Neodiprion lecontei: one gene and its partner. The protein of the gene in region 2 binds, or shares a complex with, the protein of the main gene of each other region. Links are inferred from orthologs where the notes say so. Each region holds a gene or a part of one and is shown on either strand. Other genes may lie near its edges.

Region 1 (5,184 bases), on a different chromosome or scaffold from region 2:
CAGAATCACTTGAATTTTTGCTCATCCTCCGAGTACTGATGATTTTGTCAAATGTCTTACTGAAGTTAATAGATAGTTAATCGTTTTGCAGTGAAACAACGAAATCGCGAAGTATGAAAATTAATTCTTCGTGGTTTGTTATTGTCGCTGTCCACTATTAAGTAAGATTTATAAATTTTTCAGGTAACCGAACCGGACATTTTTACGAGATTCGATCTAATGACTTATTTTGCGTAAATTGTCAAATCCGTCATTGTAAATCGAAGATTAAGAACCTGTTGATATCAAGTACTCAATGTAGCAATGTAATGCTTAAGGTGGATGCCACAATTATTGAGCTTTCACTTTTCGAATATTATACATTCAATATTACTGCTGAAAGTTGTCACGTTTCGAAAGAATAGAAAATTGATAATTTTTAATTTTCCGTCAAATTAAAATATTGTATTCGAAAAGGGTCAGTAGTTGAGAAATCTATTTAAGATCTATTTTAAGTGATTTAAGCAATAGTTTTTACTCTTTTTAAAATCAAGGAAACATTATATTAAGGCAAATAAATTATTGAATTTATTTGGATTTATGTACAGAGCTAACATAAAAAAATATGACTCGGTAAACCATGCTGCAAAGGTAGTGCTTTATCAAGTTATTACCATTTTTTTCACCAAATCATCATTATCATACAATGGAATGATATGTACATCAGAGAAATTATATGGAAACTGCTCGTCTTGGTTCTTAGTCAAAATACGACCAATTATAAAATACACTTCTTATAAATCAATGAATTTTATTGAAGACGAATTTGGGGTGATTGGTTGACGTATCTCTGCAATGAATTTTTACAAGTACCAATCAGTCAATAATCCTATATATCTATATGTTTGTGCACACGCACAAGTTTTATACAAAATCCTGTGTATAAAAATCTTTCATAGAAATTTGATTGAAAGATTTCAGTTGAGCATTGTTTGCAAGAAGCCCAGAATATAGCTTCCCAAATCTTCGTCTTGATTCGTCCACGAAACATACACGCTCTTGGATTCATCTTCACCTCCTTCGACTTTAACCAATACTGATTCTACTGATATCGCACCATCAGTGAGTTGTACCGTCCATCCTACTAATCTTTCCGTTAATGGTTGCAAAAGCTTGAGCGTTGTCGCGTGGGCAGGACCTGGATCCCTTATTTGTACTGTAGACGTGAATCTTACTACATGCCTTGTGATTCCTGCTGCCCTGGCAACCTGGAAATCAATTTGAATGTGATTCAAAGTTACTATTGATTTTCGCCCACTTTGTTGAGGTTGAAAATGTGCAACCATTTATATTACACATTTTGAAAAATGTTTGAAAACTGTATTCAAATCATGACTGATGTAATGCATCATAAAGGAAAATATAAAAATTCCTTGTGAGATGACTTATGATGGATATCAAAGTGTATTACCTCGTCAGCATCAACTAGACAAACGCCGTCTTCCCTCAGCATTAACACGCTATGTAGGAGCCTTCTTCTTTTTGGATCTGGAGGCAGAGCAGAGTATCTCTTTGCCTCAGCTTTCAGAAGGGCTAGCGAGGCATCGACGGGAACTTTGGCAGTAGTGTAAATAACGCACGTTTCTCCATTGGCTGGATTGTAGCAGCTGGTACCAAACTCCTGCCTAATTTTCTCCTTCAGAAATTCCATTTTTGCAGCCTCACCATGAACGAGCATTACGTTCTTAGGTTCGCAATATTGAATCAGCTGCATGATGCCTTTCGCATCAGCGTGAGCTGAGAATGACATATATTCCACAGCCATTTTGACCTCGACGATCTGCCGGTTTTCAAACTCGATACGTTTAGTGCCATTTAGAACTTTGTGGCCGACAGTTCCCTGGACGCAGAACCCCGGCATGATGACCATATTGGCTTCGTTGGGTGCCCACTTTTTGAAAATCTGCAACGACAGTCCAGCATGCAGCATCCCAGGAGTAGCGAAGACCACCATGGCGCCAGGATTATCGATGTAGGACTTGTCAAAGGGCTTTATGTGCTTGAAATCGAACATGTTCCTCTGAACAAACGTCTTTTTTATCTTCTGGTTGGTCCATGTAATGAACATCTTGTAGTAATTGTTGGCCTTCTCCGTCAGACCAAGGGCGAAGTACACAGGCACCTTCAAGTTCATCCTCTCCCAGTAAGTTTCTAATAGTATGCAGAGCTCCTGGGCGCGACCAAGAGCAAATACTGGTATTAAAACCTTGCCGCCTCTGTCTATGCACTCGTGCACCTTTTTCAAGAAGTCTCTTTCTCTGCATCGTTTCGAATCTCGGATGGTGGTGGCATACGTTGATTCCGATATAAGCAGATCTGGCCTGCATTTGTCGATCCAGGCGGCTCCTAGATGCCGATCCGGAGTCATGTTGTAGTCACCAGTGTAGACAATGGACTGCGAACCTACTCGAACCCAGAACATCGCAGCGCCCAGCACATGCCCTGCATAGTAAGCCTTTATCTCCAGTTCAGGGTCAACCATGACTGACTGGTGCAGCGTAACAGCGACTACCTTCTTCATGCAGTCCTTGATCATTTGGGAGGTGAAGAAGTTGCTCTCACCCTTTCGCTCCACTGCTACCTTGCGCATATCCTCTAAGAGAATTGGGGCGATCGCCTTGGTCGGGTGAGTCATGTAAATCGGACCTGTGTAGCCCACCATTTCTGTGAAATAGGGTAGCGCCCCACAGTGATCCAGGTGAAAGTGCGAGATGATGACACAGTCTATGTAGTTAGTGGCTGGTCCTTCAGGCACTATGTATGAGAAGTCCGGGAACCTTCTCTCGTCGTTGAATCCCATATGCATACCGCAGTCCAGCATTATATTTTTACCTCCCATGGTAACCAGAATACAACTCCTGCCCACATCTTGGCCTGCGCCAAGAGGCGTTACTTTGATATCAGGCATTATTTGTGATTATTAAATCGTGTCTGTGGATTTGAGTAAATTTCTAGATAGAAAAGGTCGGAATTGCGAATATTTAATAATTTTCTTTAAGTACGAACGTGTTGTGTTTACATCGCGATGCCGTTACTAACCTCCAATTTTATTTTCGTTGATTCACTTTGTTTGGTGTATATTAATTATTTATAGGCTTTAGCCATATTAGTTTAGATAATAGACATATTTTGGAGGTCAAGTAACATGATAAGTAAAGAGATCTTCATAAGATAAGATTAGGTTAGGTTAGGTTAGGATTATCGTGCAACTACGAGATGACTACATATGGGTAAATCACCACCAGAGTGATACTCACCGTTGACTGAAGAATGTAAAGACAGTTTCCCTATGGGCTTTGGTACGACAACCGAAAATCGTTGTGCGCTTGCGCCTCCTGAAATGTTCCAATAGAGGTTTCTCTCTGCCAATGGTAGAGTTGAGAACTTATTGCAGAACATCAGGGGGTTACCGATTTCGACATGATTGCTGGTTGCATTTACCCCATTCGCCTTCCGAGTAACACAGTCTTCGCAATGGTAAGTCCAAGCCAGTATTTGGCCTGTGTATACTTACCAGCTTGTCGGCGATTCAGGAAATTAATAATGAGAACAAATTTCTTCCAAAATTCATCGCAAAACAGTGATTTAATTAAAGTATAGGTACCCGAGAGGAGAATGTATACATGGATCACAAATAATAATAGATCAGATGTAATAATGATGCAGAGACCAAAAAGTATATATGTATATGCGGTCCACGTACGATACTAATATAAATGATCCATTTACGATTAATACGTGATGCATACTATAAATTTTATAATTTTCTAGAAGACTAGATAAACTAGATTATCTACAATAATCGGGTATAATACGAAAATAGAAGACTTATTCATTTCGAAATGGGATTCTATTCGACAAGCGCTCGATGTATTCCATAACATTATTATTCACAATTATTTCAACAACTTTTCATTTGCTCTCTCGATCTTGTATTTTCGTAGGTATAGAATAGAAACGCCGTTCTAGCTAGTCGCAAGTGAAGTATCTACGTTGGGTAGAGAAGCACAATTGTTTTTCGAAAAGTGTTCATATGGAATAAAATTCGGAGTAACTGTAATACATCACGAATGCGTTAATTTTGGTCGAGGTGAAATGGATGCTCCGTATATTAGGCAGTATTTAACGCAGTGTCCTGATTTAAAGACCTGAAAAGGTGATTGTCGGCGATTTTTTTTTCTTCTTTTGATGGGGAGAGATAGAACGAAGCTTCTTAAAACTTCGAGTGTATTTTAACACACGTTTGAAAGGTACAAGCAAAAATTTTTATCTTCCAACTGTCGCAGAATGACAGCGTTATTAGCTGACCCGTTAACTGGAGAACATATCCTCAGTCAACGGCTGACCATCGAAGGGCCTAGCCGCTTGAGTCTGGAATCGGCAGGAAAGATAAAGTGCGTATTTCTTGTCTGAAATGTAAAATCAAAAATCGTACATCATATCATATCATCGTACATCATACATCATACATCACCATACATCATGCATAGTATTGAAGTTCGAAACCAAAGTTTGGATGTTCGGACGTTCAGAAAGTGATGCAACCGAAAATTTTGTTTCTCTCGACGTCATCGATATAGAATCAGCTAACCGAATTCCTCAGTCTGTAAACAACCGCGCGGTAGAGCGGACGTATGAGAATCGCGCTCCGCAGATTTCGAGTAACTGGTTCTCTACCTCCTGAATCCTGCGCTCCGGGTCCACTTTCTGGTGCAACTCGAGCTCCAGGACAAGCGCTCCGTAATTTCTTTGCTCCAGGTCCGCTACCTGGTGAAACACGACTTTCAGGACACGCGTTCCGTAGTTTTTGCGCTCAAGGTCCACTACCTGCAGAAACTCGACTTCCAGAACAAGCGTTCCGTAGTTTTGGCTGTCCAGGTACTTGACCTGATGACTTTTGACCTTCCGGACTAATTTTTGAGTTTACAAGTTTTATTATTCAAAACGTCATGTTTTGTACTATCAAAGCAATAGCTAATAAAATTGCAATCATTTTTTATAATTTTCTCATAAATTTCTTGGTGAAATGTGCCGGTAAAAAAATTATATTAATCCTTATACAATATTTTTGATGTCTTACAATACTGAGAACATTTATCAGTATTCGAGTTACAAGACGAGGTGGTTGGCGGTGGTTGGAAGTAG
Region 2 (5,275 bases):
AGATAACCATTAGCGATATTTTTTTTAAGGGATCACCGTAGATTTCTATAGTGAATAAACTCAACCCAAAAACATTAGGATCAGATCTAAAACACAAGAGTTTGAGCACCTTGAACGTCTTAATCATGAAACCGTTTTTGCAAATTGTTGATATGCCAGTTTGTGCAATTCAAATCGGCCCGGAATCATTTCAATTACGTAGTAGATACCGTTATTGGTGCAACCAACACTGCTGGAGATTTTCTAAACGTTTTTTCTCTGCTCCCAACTTTTAATTCAGTCCCATGGACTACAAATAGATTGATATTCACCAGTTTCTGATCGTAACCGACCATCTGGATATGGGCAAGGCTAGAGTTGACAGCGGCCATAGAGTAGAGGTGCTTCCAAGACTTGGGTTTCATGGCATCGGCGAGTGGCGGAGGTAGAACATGGAGCATTTCTTTCCAGTGTTTGGCCAGCATAGCCTTAGGTGTCTGCTCGATGAATTCAACCAGCTCCTCCATGAAGAATCTACCGATTTGCAGGGTCGGTTCCGTCGCATAAACTATACCTTTGAACCCCGTACCTTCTGTTATGAACGGCAGTGCGAGCATGCAAGTGTAGTTCGATATCAGTATCGCATCAATCTCAGAAAAATCCGTGATCTTCTCTAACGGTGGACAAAACTCTGGCGTTGAATCAACGAATACTCTTCCACAGTTCTCTTTCAGCTCCTGGCAATGTGTTCAAATACCAGTTTCATTAATGCAATTTTTGCATCTGGGTCTAGAATTTTCAAACGATTCTTCTGACATTTCGATTAATTCTTCTCCCTGTTTATCGATTCACTCATATTTCAATTCAGTTTGACGATTAATCGACTAACCGAAATTTTCAATGAATTGGTTTTTTAATAAAATGATTCATCGGTATTCTTAATTAATTGATTTTCAGATTAGTCGATTCATCAATGTTTTTGATTGACCAGTTTTTCGATTAACGGAATCATCGATGTTCTCACTCAATCGATTGTTTCAATTAATCGATTCATCGGTATCCTTGATAAATCTGCAGTATTTTGGGTAATTGATTATTTCATACTTTTAATTTGATGTTACGAGTACTCGAACAACCTTTCACCTTGGCTCATTTGTTTCTCGATAGTTATCAATTCTTCTGATAACAAGTGTTCAGAAATTTACAAATTTTCTCTTTGTGAAAAATGATAGCATTACTCATCAAATAATAGAACCAAGGAAACTTATTGAAAGGTGGAAAAATCGGAATTCAGTTTCAACAGTTTCAACATGAGATTGAAGAGCGTCACATAGCTCTAACAAAACGTAGTATCGATAAACAACACACTTTTAATTACGACAACACAAACATCCTTTGTGAAGAACACAATTATTATAGAAGACTGTTATTAGAAGACTGACTAGAAATGTGCAACATTGTAGGTCACACCAATTCTGTTAATCTTAGACAAGATGTTGAGCATTTAAGTAATATTTACAAACCTTTAATCTCCGCCCACACAACAAATATTGTTTAACCTTTACTACATACAAAAAAAATTTTTTTTGTCCACATTACACAGTCCTTTCCTTTTTCTGTATAATTGTTTATAATAGGTTCACCTTCACTCTGGATTATATTTGTTTTCTCCCATCAGTCGTTATTCACCTGTTGACTCAATCGGTTCAACCAACAATAATTTTTTGTTAGACATGTGGAACTTAATTATAAAGAGCCTACCTCCACTTCTTTGACACTTGCGAATTAATTTTATGGCTAAAAAGACCTTCTTTAAAAACCTTTTAACACAATGACATACTGACTGTGAAGAAACATAGTTCTTTCATCTTTTTAACTAATGACTTCCAACTATTAACTCCCACATGTAAAATAACTTGAAGATTGACATTGACTACCGTCACTCAAAAGAACACTGTCTCCACCAATTGTAATTGTGAATTCGACTACATCTTAGTCCACTTACTTAATTCAAAAAAAAAAAAAGGTAAATAACACTTAAAGACATTCTTATTTCAATTAATCAAAAGGTTCTTACTAATCAATAATATATAATAGCTCTAAGAGTATTACATCTACAATATTTAAGTCTGATTACTTCTAGTACTATTATTTATTTTATAAAAAATCTTTTTGTTGTTCTTGACAGTTAAAAAAATAAATCGTTCTGAGGAGGGCCCATATCCGGGTCGAAACGTTAACTAAAAATACGTTTACTTAATTGACCGATCACCAAGATTCTATAATAGATTACATACGAGGTCGAGAATTCTTATTCATCAGTCTATAATAGTAATTGAAAATCGAGACAGTGACATAATGTAGGTCTTACCCCTTCAATTTGCCAATCCTGATTGTTATCCCTGGGAACCCAACTGGAAAGGGAGTTGAACTTGGCACTAGGCACCATGGGCATCGGCATGAAATTCAAAATTGACTGCATGTTCAGACCACAGTCCAACATTAGCGTTATGCCTTTGAAGCTCAAGACCAGGCATGGCTTTGTCGGCTCGCTGGACAGGCAGTACTGGAATAATAATGAAATAAATAAAATTGAAATAAATGTAGAAAGAAAAACATATGATGAATACTTAGTAGTTGTATCGATTTGTCAAGAAAATATAAGAACAAAAAGGTATTTATGATTATCTGGTGAAATTTGTTTCTGAAAAACCATTTTATTTGTCATAATTGAATTTCTGAAATTTATTATGTATTTTATTTATCGAAATCATATCTTTTTACGTGATACATAATTCAATAATTGGATTTTTGTAAGTTGATGGGGCTAGGTCAGGTTATGTTCAATTAGAAGCTTAGAAAGCCGTTCGAAGATTGAAATTCTATGCCAATGGCATATTTATTCTCAAGGAAATATAACGCAATTACAATCATTCTTACCAGCTTCATTTGAATGATTTGAATTGACGATATCGTAATTTTCTCCCAGTGTTTTTTCAATTTTTCTAACCCAAAACACAATCTTGCTCTCAAAACAAGGCATAATCTTTCCGAATCCTCGGTATTACTCGGCCACACGGTGCAAGCATGGTGCAGAAGACTAGCTAGAGAGCATGAAACCTAATTCGAGTGGTAGGGAAGATTCTCCGCTTGAAGCTTTCTGATTGGCACACGTGCACGGTCTCATTGAAATGAGACTTCGTTTCCAGACAGCTGTTGACTGAGGATATCAGACAGGTTCCAGGGTAGATCAAGAGTTACAGTCAAAAACCGAAAATTTCCTTGGCAATTTCTCTGCTGCTGGTCCTACGCTCTTTTTAGTGGGTTTTCTGTGTTCTGGGGGTCCAATTAGTCAAAAAAGGGTCATACAAATTGATTCGGAGACTAAAGATTTTTTGCTAAAAAATAGATTAACCTTGTATTTTTTCAGCTCGTTTTGGCGGTGTTTTAAACATGCTGGGCAACTAACTACTAGCGCCACTAGTGGTGGAAATTGGGGGCAGAATTGAGGGACACTTTGCGAACCACATTTAGCACCGTGTGTCAGCACCGTATTCCATCAAATTCTGTCGTATTTCAAAAGACGCTAGAATTGACTAGTGTAGCTAAAGTGAACCCGGCGCACTGGTCGGACGAGATCTGCCGCTCGCTCCGGTTTGGCGGATCATCTAGCGTTCAGCAGTCGCTCGGTGACGTCAAAGTTCTAGGAATTGCGAATGCCTGATTCTCTTATCCCTTTCTGAATTACACTCCTAGGTGATCATTATTCATCCATTTCATGCGAGAGTGAGTTCGATAGCGTTGTACTTATGAGAATTTATTTGTTTGATTACAAAATAATTGTAACTGTGTGTTCCTGAGTAGGGGGAAGGGGGTCACGCGATCCGCTATTTCGGATCAAACGTACAAAAATTTGTTTTTTTTTTTAAATAACTTTTTGTTGCAGGATCAACCGCTTAGGAATTATTATAACAAGACCAATTTTTTGCAACTAATCCAGGATGGCGAATCGCACGGACCCTTCTCCTCAAAGGCCGAAAATACATACACGACAATCACTACTATCCCACCATTTGTAGTGCAATGGTTTGTTTTACTCCCCATCAACTGGACTACATTTGAACATAATTAGAATGTCAGGAATAAAATATAAGTACATTACATACAAAACCGTAAATTTATATAAATATTGAATTTGTAAAGACTTATTATTTGCAATAATTCTAATCGAAGACTATACTAGAATTGATTAAGACCGCACTTACCTTGCTGTATTTCGTATTCATCCAATTCTGCAGCACGATGCAATTCCCACTTTTGCATTTTCTTATTCTCATCGATGGTATGTCCGTTTTTTTTTTTTGAAAATCAACCGTTCAACCAATTTTCATTTATAATATATAATTAAGCAAATCAAGATTTCATTTCCAAGAAAGCCCTCCATTTGAAACCTCAACTCTAGAAAATATATATTCAATCATCTCCTACATCAATTTGTTGAGCGAAATAAGTTCTTTATCAACTACCACGGAAATTGATTAAATACTCACTTAGCAAAATTAGGCTAAAATAATAAGAATAAGTACATTTAAATATAAATAAAATTATGCATCGTGATTCTCGCGTTGAGAAAAATAAAATCATTAATTGCGACACAACGTACAAAGTTTAGTTAAAAAAAAAAAAAAAATTCAAAATAATAACATTATTTTCTCGAATATCGCACGATATAAGATTTTATTTCCGTAAATAATTAGATAGAAAATATAATTAAGCCGAGCTAAATAATTAATAAGTTTTTCGTTTCTAGTTTTGTTTGTTGTGAAAACAGGAGGAGGGGTGAAGTTTCTGTTGCTATATAGTATTATTAATAATAATAATAATAGTTATTATAGGTAGTAAATAATTACGTTATGCAAGTCGGAATAATAAAGTTGCCAATGAGACGGTTTTTTTTCATCAACTATTTCGAGAAGTTTGACAATATTTGTTTTTCTTGTCATTAAAATTCAATGATATTGTTGTTTGTAATATTTCACGTGGTGGTAGAAGATATATCGTCGTCGTCGTTGCTGCTTGATTAAATTAAAATCTTTTTTTTTTATTTTCAATTTTCACCGTACCAATGTAATCAATCATTCAATTAACCAGATGGTTTCTCGTTACAAATAAAAATAAAAACAAAGAAAAAGAAAAGAAACACAAATTTAATCAGCACTTGTAGTTTGTTCAATTAGTTACCTTGTTGTTATGTTTTTTGCTGATAGTAATTCATGTTGCTCGGTTGCCATCTTTA

Evidence for each region.
Region 1: the proteins of integrator complex subunit 9 (region 2) and integrator complex subunit 11 are in contact, whole or in part, in a cryo-EM structure (PDB 7SN8), measured with the Drosophila melanogaster proteins. The link is inferred for Neodiprion lecontei from reciprocal best matches to the Drosophila melanogaster genes IntS9 and IntS11. Residues at the interface, in NP_648838.3 of Drosophila melanogaster: Glu128, Tyr198, Asp199, Glu200, Lys201, His230, Asp333, Ser334, Ala337, Tyr338, Asn340, Ile341, Glu344, Gln351, Val354, Tyr355, Leu356, Pro357, Asp358, Asp359, Pro360, Arg509, Lys510, Leu511, Asp512, Arg513, Ile514, Tyr515, Ile516, Ser518; in NP_651721.1 of Drosophila melanogaster: His94, Lys97, Ala98, Pro135, Thr137, His139, Gln140, Ser141, Glu149, Lys151, Lys274, Thr277, Tyr278, Lys280, Met281, Phe282, Ile283, Thr284, Trp285, Phe294, Val295, His296, Val450, Lys451, Ile452, Pro453, Val454, Asp455, Ala456, Ser457.

The regions. Positions count from the first base shown.
Region 1 is NC_060266.1:4,405,097-4,410,280, reverse strand, and holds integrator complex subunit 11, read right to left. Parts: upstream 3,288-5,184; 5' UTR 3,079-3,287; exon of another isoform or gene 2,971-3,078; 5' UTR 2,948-2,970; coding exon 1,451-2,947; intron 1,248-1,450; coding exon 957-1,247; 3' UTR 774-956; downstream 1-773. UniProt on the Drosophila melanogaster protein: RNA endonuclease component of the integrator complex, a multiprotein complex that terminates RNA polymerase II (Pol II) transcription in the promoter-proximal region of genes.
Region 2 is NC_060264.1:21,327,974-21,333,248, forward strand, and holds the start of integrator complex subunit 9, read right to left. Parts: upstream 3,052-5,275; 5' UTR 2,929-3,051; coding exon 2,920-2,928; intron 2,654-2,919; exon of another isoform or gene 2,546-2,653; coding exon 2,351-2,545; intron 2,006-2,350; exon of another isoform or gene 1,971-2,005; intron 717-1,970; coding exon 312-716; intron 1-311. UniProt on the Drosophila melanogaster protein: Component of the integrator complex, a multiprotein complex that terminates RNA polymerase II (Pol II) transcription in the promoter-proximal region of genes.